2 linked regions of the Nothobranchius furzeri genome follow. The protein of the gene in region 2 interacts with the protein of the main gene of each other region in a pairwise test. Links are inferred from orthologs where the notes say so. Each region holds a gene or a part of one and is shown on either strand. Other genes may lie near its edges.

Region 1 (6,043 bases), on a different chromosome or scaffold from region 2:
CACTTTTCTTGTGATAAAGATGTGCTGTGTGATACAAAGCAAATGGCACAGCAGATTGGTGGAAAATCACTAATTATTACCAACTGTGTACAATCTATACGGTTTAACTAAATGTTCTAATTTTGCTGAATTGAAAATCCTCTGCCACATTGTTTTAGTCACATCTTGTTTTGAAAAACGGTACCGGAAGTGTATGTTGTTTTACCGCTGGCTTTGAGGCTAGCCGAGAGAAAAGAGAAGGTAAATGGAACAGGCGGCTGTAATGGAGAGCGAAAGGACTGGGAGCTTAAATGTTCTGGAGACATGGCGTGGCTGCATGACACAATAAAGGAATCTCGCCACCATAAATGGACGATTCCGAAAAACAAAGTCGAGGCCGTGGCATCGAGCTTCCTGCCTGGAGAATTTTCATTTCGCTCTGCGTTTACCTCGTTTAACCCAAAGCAGAGAGAGAGAGAGAGCACGCACCGTTTGATCCGAGCAGGATCTGCAGAGAGGAGTCTGTGACCAACAACCTCGCCTGACAGCTTTAAAGGTAAAAACTATTGACTTCTCCTGGCGAGCGGACACTCCAGCACCGCTGTTTGTTTACTACAACGATTAGCTCCGCGCTTAAGTTGCACAATCAATCACCTCGTTCATTGTTTCTTACAGCGTTGTTAGCAAGTGCGGTGAAAACACTTCCACTGGTTTTCATTTAACTGGCATGTTTCTCACGTTGTGGCGCAGCGACGTTCAGGAGCAGGCAGGGATCACCGCAGCTAGGCTAATGTTAGCAGCTGACCCGTGAATGCCACATGGAGCTGTGTTGTTGTTGTGACCAACCTGTCAGTGGGTGAAATCTGCCCGGGCACGTCTCTCACAGGACAGTCATAGCTAAAAACATGAATATTAGTTCCATAACATGACTGTCATGTCATCAATGTGTCACCCGGCTCGTGCAAAAGTAAGTTTTATAAGCAAGTTTCTTCAGTCATCAGGTAGGAACGTGTCATGGTTTATTAATAACTTTAAAGTAATTTTGCTTTGAGATCTGAGTGCTTTTTTGACTTGTGACAACAGGTTGACCAATGTGGGCTTTTCAGTTGCAGATACCAATGCCGATCTGCAGAAATCAAAGCTATCCGTGGCTGACAAACATTGCAAATGTGTATTTGTTTTTTCATTTAACAAAATGTAACGAAATTGATCGATTTTAACATGTATTTAATAACACTTTGACGTGTAAAAAAGAAATAAACATTTATACAGAGGTGAATTCTGGTTTGAGAAAACTAAAATGTGACCAGGCTGCATCTACACCTTATTATTTAAGTACGCACAATAAAGACTCACACAAAAATAATCAGCTTGAGATTGGACTCGACCATCATTCTTCATGACTGTGTCTGAAATTTTACATGTTTTCATCCGTTAAGGCATTGTTACCAAGCAATAATAATAAAAAAAAATTATCTGTCCATCAGCTCATTATTGATAAGCAAACTGATGAAACAAAATAAATACATGTTGCTGATGAGATCTATAGAACTGGTTACATTTTGCATCAGCAGGTCAGAGCTGTGTAAACATTGGAAACCGGTATTGGCCTTCAAAACTAGAATCGGTGCATCTTTTATTAAGTAGTGAAGTAAATCTACTTAAGTATTTAATATCAAACAAAACACAATAAAAGCAAACACGCATAAAATAAGAACAAAAACAGCAAATTTGGTTTAAGAAAAGAGCATAAAAGCAATGCAAACATTAAGAAAAAGTAAAAATCTCATGCACGTGCATAAATGATCACATACACATTTATACCAATGGCCAATATCCGCCAATCGATTAATGATTACTTCTACTAGTGTCCCTGTGTTGAGAGTTGGTCTCCTTCTGTTTACAGGAAGCTCAGTATGAGTCGAGATGGGTGGATGAAGAAGAAAGCTAATACTGGTGATGATAATGGTTGGGGTGAAAAGGTGAGTATTACTCTCCTACAGCTGTCAGAGCTCCACTGTGAGTTAGACAGTTTGCAGGATCTGCAGCACACAACGTTACATGTTATTTTGCAGGTTAGAAAATAACGATGGATCGTGATGCCCACAGAAAAGTCTCAGCTGTGTTTCTGTTATTTCATACATTCCTTCTCCTGCAGGGCGGCTACATGGCCGCCAAGGTCTCCAAGCTCGACGAGCAGTTTAAACGTGATGCCCCTAGAGAGAAGCAGAAGGAAGGAACATGCTCCAGCATCTTCAGCGGTGTGTCCATATACGTCAACGGATACACAGGTAGCACTCTGCACTAGTCCCCATCTAGTGTGTAATAAAAGTCTTGTTTGCTGTCTTCCAGTCACAGTTTCTCCTCTTGACCTTTAAGAGCAAAAAGAAAATGTTTTCAAGGGCTCAGAAGCTTCTTCCTGCTTTTTCCTTCAGGATTGATTTAAGAAATATTTAACTCTGCAACAAAGAAAAAAGAAATGCTGCAAGGGTTTGATCAAGGCCATAAATCAAGTCCAAAGAGAGTATTCTTTAGAGGAATGAACGCCTGACGTTCATATGGGCGAATCGAAAGGAGAGAGTGTGATTTAACAGCGTCGACATGGAGAAACAAGGCAGCGCTGCTTCCTGATCCTGTTGTTATTCATGTCAGGAGGCTGCTGAAGGCTTTCTGAACGCCTCAGAGCTTGGCTTGTCTCTCTGGAGTTTGCATGTTTTTCTCTAATTATTTTAAATGAATGTCTAGGATCCCCCAACAACGATAAAAAGACTATCTTTTCTTTAGGTTCTAGTTTATGAATGAATGTGTTTCTTTTCGTTTTACCGTCAGATCCGAGCGCTGACGAGCTCCGCAAACTGATGATGCTACACGGGGGTCAGTTCCATCTCTATTACTCGCGCTCCAACACCACTCACATCATCGCCAGCAACTTACCCAACTCCAAGATTCAGGAGCTCAAAGGGGAAAAGGTCATCCGGCCCCAGTGGATCACGGACAGGTGTGTTTGGTGCTGGAGAGTGTCGACGTGTGACGCTTAATCGGTTTTAGCTGAAACTCTGCTTGTTTGTGACAGTGTCGTGGCTGGGCGCCTCCTGCCTTATTTCCAGTACCAGCTGTACACGAAACAGAAAAGCACACTCTTCCCCGGCGTTATCCTGCACCGCAGCTCCACCGCCACCGGGTCCGGCCACCTTCCCCTTCAGACCAGCGCTCGCCAGAAGCTGCGTTCGCCACAGCGCAACACTGAGCTCTCTGTTCCCCACAGTGAAAGGTCCTTGTCCAGCTGCCAGAACAACTCCATCCTTGTCTCCACCCGCATTGAAGCTGACCCCTTGTCCACCCTGCACAGTGGCAGAGCTCGCTCGGTGAACCCCAGACCCAATCAGCTCACCACAGATCTACTCACACACAACCAGTGCAGCACAAAGCACTCGCATCCTGCCCACCTGCATGAAGAAGACCTTAAAATGTGAGTACATGCACTAGCAAAGGCTTTCAGCTAAAATCACGGAGAACTTGTAGTTATTTTCTGTCTCTTTACTACAGAAATGGGCGACTGCAGACCTCTGTGGATAACACGAGCCATTCCAAAATAAAAAAGCTGCAGGAGTGTACAGAAGATGACTTTTGTTCTTTTGGGGTGAATGAAGCCCCCCTTACTAATGGACATGCTCATCTTGTCAACGGTGCCTTAAAGTCAGGGGACCTGTCCTCTGGAACTGATCCCAACTACAGGATCGGGTCCAAAAGTAAAGTGCAGCGTTCAACGGATAAACCTCAAAGTCCTCTGAAACAGAACAAGTGTGACCCGTATGAGTTCCCCCCCAGCCCTCCAAAGCTTGACGCATCACCTGATGGCCATAGAACTCCTCCGCCCGCTTGTCCTGAGTCTCCAAAAGCCAACAAAACCCAACTCCCACCCAAACGTCTCCTCTCAACTCGGGTCCAAACAGTTTCTGAGCAGTCTCATCTGTCCCTTTCATCCTGTTCTCTGTCGCAGTCTTCAGTTCGACCGAACGGCAGTCACCGCGATGCCTTCTCATCCGACCTCTCGTTCCTCGGCACGGCCTCCGTAACAGCCAAGCCCGACCCCCCCGCCGGCGAGTCTCCGTCCAAGGCCTCGGAGCATCTGCTGGAGCAGACGGGCGGTCTGATCTCGGAGTTCTACTCACACTCGCGTCTGCATCAGATCTCCACGTGGAGGATCAGCTTCTCTGAGTACGTCAATGAGCTGCACAGCAAAACGAAAGCGCCGGGAGTGGCTTCCTACCCTGGAAGAGACCGACTGAAGAAATTCACAAGTCAGCGACCAACGGGCAGCCGCGGTATGAAAGTCGCCCACTCTGTTGATTCATTCTGTGAACTAGCAGCTGCGTTTTTATCTTGTTTTGTTTGTTTCAGGCACATCAGCACCGAGGAGCATCAAGTCATGCATCCTCCATGTGGACATGGACTGTTTTTTTGTGTCTGTCGGGATCCGGCACAGACCGGATCTTAAAGGCAGGTCTTTTTTTGCCTCTCTAAATACACGCTTATACATAAGTTAGACATTGAATTTTTGTTTTGAATTTTCCTGCAGGGAAGCCCGTAGCTGTCACCAGCAACCGCGGACAGGGTAGAGTTCCCATAAGGCCTGGAGCTAACCCGCAGGCGGAGCAGCAGTACTACCAGAGGAAACACACTCATCCTCAGCCAGGTGAGATTTTTCCGCCCTGTTAAGCGTGAAGTAAAGAGTTCTGTCGTAACAAACTGTAACGTGGCTGCTGATCAGACGAGGATCTACTGGGGACTCCCTCGCAAGGCTGGCCCAACTCCTGCGACAGCAGAGCGGAGACGGATGCCGCGGCTCTCTCCATGGCGGAGATCGCTTCCTGTAGTTACGAAGCTAGGTATGATTTAAACACAGCTAATATTAGCTGAATAAATAAGTGTTTAATATGTGTTTTCGCCATCCCAGGCAGGTGGGAGTGAGGAACGGGATGTTTTTTGGCAAAGCGAAGCAGCTGTGCCCCTCGTTGCAGGCTGTTTCTTATGACTTTGAGGCTTATAGAGAGGTGGCTCTAAACATGTATGAGATCCTAGCGAGGTAAGAAAGCTGAAATCCTTCAAATCATCACTTTGTTTTTTGTTTGTTTGTTATTGACTTGATAACTTCATGAAATGCAGTTACACTCGTGACATAGAGGCTCTGAGCTGTGACGAGGCGTTGGTAGACGCTTCTGCTCTGCTCGCTGAGGTAGGAGTCGGCCCGGAGGATTTGGCCAGAGCCATCAGAGCAGACATCGAGAAGAAAACAGGATGCTGTGCTTCAGTGGGGATGGGTGAGCCAGGGTTCTTCCTCTAGAATATTTTGTATATTTAGTTGTATTTAATCAAACTGTGATCTGTTCAGGGTCTAACATTCTTTTGGCTCGGCTGGCGACCCGTAAGGCCAAACCCAATGGGCAGTACTTCCTTAAATCTGAAGAAGTGGACGATTTTATCAGGGATCTACCAGTTACCAGTTTACCAGGTTAACGTTTCATCCGGCTCACGAGTACTAACCTGTTAGCATTTGTGAAGTAGTTAACAGTTGCTGTTTTCTAGGGGTTGGTCGTGCTATGGCTAAAAAACTTGCCGGTATGGAGGTGACGTCATGTGGGGACCTCCAGCACGTTACTCTGTCTCAGCTGCAGAAAAGGTTTGGACCGCGTACCGGACAAACCCTGTTCCGGTTCTGCAGGGGCTTGGACGACCGGCCTGTTCGCTTTGAGAAGGAGAGAAAATCGGTGTCGGCTGAGATGAACTACAACATTCGTTTCACCACGGTTGGTCCTGCTCTTCTGCTTTGCTCTTCGTTTCGTAACAGCCGTCATTTCTAAATGTGCAGCTTTAAAACTCACCAGGTTGATGAGACGGAAAGTTTCCTGACCAGTTTATCCACGGAAGTGCAACGGCGTTTACAAGAAGCGGGGCTACGCGGTCGGAGAGTCACGCTTAAGGTCATGGTTCGTAAAGCAGGAGCGCCGCTGGAGCCGGCTAAATATGGAGGCCACGGCATTTGTGATAATCTGGCAAAGTGAGA
Region 2 (5,960 bases):
TGTTCTGTTTTTCAGGGATTTCGAATTCAAAACGAAATTGAAAACTATTCTACTGCTTTTATTAAGTAATGAAAATTTTTGTGTGAAGAATCGTGATGCATTTCAGACTCAAATCGAATCGTTAGGCAGTTAATCGGAATCGGATCGAATCGTGAGGCAGGTAGAGATGCACACCACTAACTGTTAGACCTTTTCAAATGGTCCAGAACGCAGCGGCGCGTCTGGTCTTCAATCAACCAAAAAGAGCACACATCACCCCTCTGTTCATTGAGCTCCACTGGCTACCACTAGCTGCACGCATCAAATTCAAATTGCTAACACTAGCATACAAAGTCCGAGATGGCACGGCTCCCATCCACCTGAATCCTCTTGCAAAGGCTTACGTCTCGGCTCGGCCGCTCCGGTCATCACAAGATCGTCGGCTAGCAGAGCCTACGCCACGCTCGGGACAATCCAGACTCTTCTCATGCATTGTTCCACAAATGTGGAAAGACCTACCAAGCGCTACAAGAACAGGGGCTTCCTTTTCCACTTTCAAGAAACTCCTGAAGACCCTGCTCTTCACAGAGCGTCTTCTAAACTAGCACCCTCCCTGCACCCGTCCCCCCTCTCTACTGTCCACTCCTTGTTCCCTCCTCTCCATGATTCATCACGCTGCCTCACTGCAACCTACGACTGACTGGAAATTGTTTGTTGTTGTTGTTGTTATTGTTGTTGTTAGCCTCAAGAGCAACATACCGATTATAACTGGTAAATACTAGAAAATGAAAACTGTAAAAAAAAATTAATTAAACTGTAGATAAATATACTGTAGCTGTGATGGCAAATCATCTTCATCCACACCTGAATCCTCACCACAGATGTACATGGACCTTTTGTTTTTCTGGAAGTTGCAGTAATAGTATATAATAGTATAGTAATAGTATTAGCAGAAATACTAGACAACAGAAACTGGAACGGGTTTAGTGCAGAGATACTTACTGCATTTGGGATGGAAAAACAATGTGGGCACATCTTGCTCCTCATCAACAACTTTTGAGAGAAGTTTCCTCTTTCTAGAAGGTTTCCTGGTTTATTTACAAAAACCAATCTAACGTAAAAAACTAAAAAGCCTCAGTGAAAAACGCAGCCGAAAAAAGACAAAACTACGGGTGATCGAACAGTACAAAAATGGCAAAGCAATGTCAAATATGACTAAATATAATCTAAAATTACTAAATAAAAACATAAAGTAGGAAATTTACTGAAAATAATTATTTACACCAGTAGAAGAGATAGAAGTTGAAAATAGGCGTCCAAAACAATTCCTCCGCTCCCATGGCGAGAAAGAGGAAGAAGAAACTCCTCCTGTAAAATCTTTCTTATTAAAACACTAAAACGTTTTGGCAGCAGCATGAAGGCGTCTCGCTATTCATTTTCTCTCTCCCTTTCCTTTCTTCTAATTTATTTATTTTTTGTTCTTTTCTATTTTTAAACATATTTTTAGTCATTTAAACATATTTTTATACTTTAATTGTTTTGTTTTTGTGAAGCACCTCGTGATTTTTATCTTGAGAGGCTCTATATAAAAGATCTTCTCAACGCTAACATACTTTTTCTTTTGTTATATTTATTTAGCTGTAAACATAATTATTAACTGTATTTATGTAACAGAAAACACTATGTTTTTGTGACGTGAAAGTGCTAAGCCCAGCTAGCTATAGTGCTCCAGACAGTTCAGTTTTTTAGCAGTTTTTATAAATTTATATTCATACATTTTGCATATAATTAAATAAAATAAAAAAAGACAAATAAAGTAAAATAACAGTTCCCTGAGAGTTTTGCAAATGCTGGAAGCCCTGATATAAATGCGGAATTTACATTATATAAACAACATTTGTAAAGTTTATCAACATTCATACATTTTTATGTGTTTTTTTTTCTCTCCTGATGTCTTTGGCTGTTTGGTGTGTTGCAATATCTTCTCCGGGCCGGCCAGTGGCGCTGTTGCGCACACGCGCAGCGGAACTGTCTGTAAACAAAATAACAAAAGCATGTATTTATGCTGAACGTGATGTTAACGCCATCACGTTAGTCTTTTAAAATCAATAATAGCGACGATGAGATGGAGGAAGAACTTAGCGAGTGGAAAAACTCCTTCGTGGATTCAGCAGCTCTCTTTTCCACCTCCTCAGTCGCTTCTGGTAAAATTGTAAGTTTTTGGTGCTTCAGCTTGATTTGAAGATAACTTCTGTGTCTTATATTCAGGATCAGCTGTTAAAGCATCATCAGCTCCTTCACACAGAGTCATTTTGCATTTTGACCTGGACTGCTTCTACGCTCAGGTGGAAATGATAAGAAATCCAGCTCTGAGATGCGTGCCTTTAGGTAAACCTAAAATATTATTATGGAATATTAAAGTTGCTGAGTTTCTGTGAAGGTTAAACACTTCTGTCTTCAGGTGTTCAGCAGAAATACATCATAGTCACCAGTAACTACATGGCCAGGGGGCGGGGTGTTACCAAGCTGATGTCTGTCTCTGACGCAAAGGAGAAGTGTCCCGAGCTGGTGCTGGTTAACGGAGAAGACCTGACACACTACAGAGAAATGTCCTATAAAGTGACAGGTAGCCGTTCTTACCTATTTAGAGAATTTTATATCCTCCAACACATCAGATTGATTTTTGTGGGGAAAAATGTGCTGTTGGCTGTTTGATTTTAGTTATTAAATCCCAACAGGAAGCACATTAAACCTTAAACTATCATATGCAGCCAAAAAAAAAATAATAATAAAAGAGCGCCTTTTGCTATCAAAACTGGAAAATTAAAAATAAGTGTCACAGAAGTCAGTAAAGAAGATACAAATTTATATCGCAGCTGAGCTGCTACAAGAAATGTGTCCTTGTCTTCTGTTATTGTTATTGTGGGGAGAAAAAAGCTGATGTTTAAATTAGTTAACATCAAAAATGCATAAATTATAAATGTTTTCTGCTCACCTTCACTTTCAGAGCTGCTGATGTCTTATTGTCCCCTGGTTGAGAGGCTTGGATTTGATGAAAACTTCATGGATGTCACAGAGATGGTGGAACAAAAGCTCAAACAGACAGCAGAGCCTGGCTGCTTTTCCTTCAAAGGACGCGTCTACAATCACTCCAGTGAGTTGTGTGTCTGCCGCTGCACATCTGGCTCACTGAAACTGAAAGATAACTTGTGAAAGAGTTCATTTGTGACGTATTTGCATGCCGTTTTCAGTGTCACTCTAACCGTTCCATTTTAGATTTTTTTTTCTTTTTCTCCGTTCTTGCTCAGGTGCTGATGCTAAAGCCAGCGACCACCCCAGGTTGGCTTTAGGTTCTCACATCGCAGCAGAGCTGAGAGAAGCCGTCCGCGGCAAACTCGGCCTGACTGGCTGTGCTGGCATCGCCACAAACAAGCTGCTGGCCAAACTTGTTTCTGGCACCTTCAAACCAAACCAGCAAACCGTTTTACTGCAGGAGAACGTTGGCGACATTATGGGCTGCTTGAGCGGCCTCCGAAAAGTACCGGGTATGCACGTTAGAAAAATATTCTGATTCAGAGCTGGTATTTAAGGGTGGAAAAAACTTTAATTTGTGTATTAAATAACAACTTTGTGTTTCTGTGATTTCTTTCAGGCGTGGGTCACCAAACTGCTAAAAAACTTCAATCTCTGGGATTGGTCAGTGTTAAAGACCTGCAGGTTTACCCTTTAAACGACTTAGCGAAGCAGTTTGGAGGTCCTACGGCTCAGCGCTTGAAGAATCTGGTGCTAGGTGTTGATGATTCTCCTGTCACCCCCTCTGGAGCCCCTCAGGTGAATTTAGAGGCCCCAAAGACTTTCTAACACGTTTATCCTTAAGTAGCATTTAGTTATTTATCATATATTAGAAATGACCGCCATGAAGCTGTGAATAGATTTGGACTTATGTCTATTTAAAGAGCAAGTCACCCCCTAATCAACTTTATTTTTCTGATAAACTATATAAACGCGTGTCTAATCGTGCTGCAGACACGTGTAGTCAATAGTTTTGCACTTTAGTGCATTTTAGTTAAAGTTTAAATTTTCTGCTTAAAACTGTCGGTGTTGTGCCGTTGTCGGGGAAAACTCTGCACTGCATTTGAATTTTAATCTGCCATCGCTATTGGCTAAGAGGTAACCTAGGACATTAGCTGGTACCATATGATGTCACAATGTCGTTGTGAGCCTGTTTGTGTGTATTTGTTAGCGGCTCCGCCTTCTCTGTCTGCTAGGTAACAGCATTTGTTGCATTTTTCAAACAGGAAGTGGGAGTGGAGTAATGCTCTGGTAGGGGGTGACTTGCTCTTTAAGTAGAATTTTGTAGGATTATTACACTGACATTAATTTTATGCAATAAAAGTAGGTTTAACTAAGGACAATATCTCCAATAATAAAGATTACATATCAGAAACTATCAATGTATTGGTGTGAATCTGTCTTTAGATGCTGCTTGATCAGGAAATGGTGTTTATCAGTTGCATTAATGTCCTCTTCATCGTTCAGTCTCTCAGTGATGAAGATTCCTTCAAAAAAATGTCTTCAACTAAAGAAGTTGTGGAAAAGATTCAGCAGCTCTTGAGCAGTCTGGTAGAAAGGTCAGGACCAGTTTCAGCACCTCATCAATGGATCCATGGTTCTAATCTTTGAATGAAGACTTGCCGCTTCTACTTTGTCTTGTTTTATAAAAACCAGGATGCAGAAAGATGGCCGCCAGCCTCAAACCTTCAGGCTTACAATCCGAAGATTCACGACGACCAACAAGTGGTTCAGTCGGGAGAGCCGCCAGTGCCCGATCCCCAACAGCATCGGACAGAAGATCAGCTCTGGTGTGGCCACTTTGATCTACTTTTATTTAGTGAAACAAGTTTGGTTTGAAACACATTTCCGGATTAATCTCAGTGTTTATTTCGAGGCAGTGAGAGCCTCTTCTCCTGAACTTTAGATGAGTTTTATTTGTTCCTGCTTTCTGAAACCACCTAAAAATAAAAGTTTTTCTATTTTCTCTCCACAGAAAACAGAGAAGAAGCTGTGGTCCAGCTGGTTTCGATGGCTATGAAACTTTTCCAGAAGATGGTGGACAGCAGTGCTGATTTTCACCTCACACTCATAAATGTCTGCTTCAGCAACCTGCAGACGAGAGGGGCGGCCGTGAGCGGGAGGGGCGCCATCACATCGTTCTTCACGCAGAACGCATCCCCCAGAAAACCCCATCTCTTACCGTCACAAAACCAGGTGGTGTGTTTAAGATCTACAGATTCTGTCATTTAAATGAGCTCTTCATTTCTCCTCTTTATATCATTAAAGGTGGTTTGTACCTTTTGTGTATTTTTAAAGGATTTTTCTGAAAATTTAAAGACTATTACCATATTTTTACTTTTTTATTATTAAATAAATACTGTATTTTCTGGACTATAAGTCACTCTTTTTTCATAGTCTGTCTGGTCCTGTGACTTATATACCAAATTATGTAGGCTATACCGCGCTGCTGCGGGCCAGCTCTGGACCAGGAATGAGCTCCCCTGCCCCGCCATCCTCTGCTGGAGACCGTGGCGCGCTGCTGCGCCCGCGTTGTTTATTCTGTTATTGTTACCGGTACTTGTGACATGCTTGGTCTCAGATTTTGTAAGAAAAATAATAATATTTCCCCCCAAAATGTGACTTATAGTCCAGTGCAACTTACCGTAAATCCTCTAATATTAGCCTGTATTTAATTAACTGCCGGGTATCATATTTTGGTCGGTGTCGGCGGAGGTGAATAATGGCCGTTTTTTAATTGTGGCCGGGTGGAATGTGGTAACAAGCAAGTACGGGGGGCGGTTGTGTCATCCGTCTCACTTTTGATTTGCCAGTGACAGACCGCGAGGGTAACTTTAACCGTGCGGAGACGAAGAGGAGGCGAAAGTTTGATATCAAGTTCAAAGAGAATGTGCAGATTATGCTGCCGA

The links.
Region 1: the proteins of poli (region 2) and rev1 interact in a two-hybrid assay, tested with the Homo sapiens proteins (2 studies listed by BioGRID). The link is inferred for Nothobranchius furzeri from reciprocal best matches to the Homo sapiens genes POLI and REV1.

The regions. Positions count from the first base shown.
Region 1 is NC_091754.1:26,371,195-26,377,237, reverse strand, and holds the start of rev1 (DNA repair protein REV1), read left to right. Parts: upstream 1-1,961; 5' UTR 1,962-2,068; coding exon 2,069-2,270; intron 2,271-2,808; coding exon 2,809-2,977; intron 2,978-3,052; coding exon 3,053-3,448; intron 3,449-3,525; coding exon 3,526-4,304; intron 4,305-4,380; coding exon 4,381-4,479; intron 4,480-4,558; coding exon 4,559-4,675; intron 4,676-4,750; coding exon 4,751-4,868; intron 4,869-4,936; coding exon 4,937-5,065; intron 5,066-5,145; coding exon 5,146-5,300; intron 5,301-5,371; coding exon 5,372-5,491; intron 5,492-5,565; coding exon 5,566-5,786; intron 5,787-5,864; coding exon 5,865-6,037; intron 6,038-6,043. UniProt on the Homo sapiens protein: Deoxycytidyl transferase involved in DNA repair. Transfers a dCMP residue from dCTP to the 3'-end of a DNA primer in a template-dependent reaction.
Region 2 is NC_091750.1:42,536,616-42,542,575, forward strand, and holds the start of poli (DNA polymerase iota), read left to right. Parts: upstream 1-1,994; 5' UTR 1,995-2,104; coding exon 2,105-2,183; intron 2,184-2,247; coding exon 2,248-2,367; intron 2,368-2,440; coding exon 2,441-2,605; intron 2,606-2,986; coding exon 2,987-3,133; intron 3,134-3,287; coding exon 3,288-3,524; intron 3,525-3,631; coding exon 3,632-3,810; intron 3,811-4,518; coding exon 4,519-4,610; intron 4,611-4,707; coding exon 4,708-4,841; intron 4,842-5,026; coding exon 5,027-5,247; intron 5,248-5,960. UniProt on the Homo sapiens protein: Error-prone DNA polymerase specifically involved in DNA repair. Plays an important role in translesion synthesis, where the normal high-fidelity DNA polymerases cannot proceed and DNA synthesis stalls. Favors Hoogsteen base-pairing in the active site.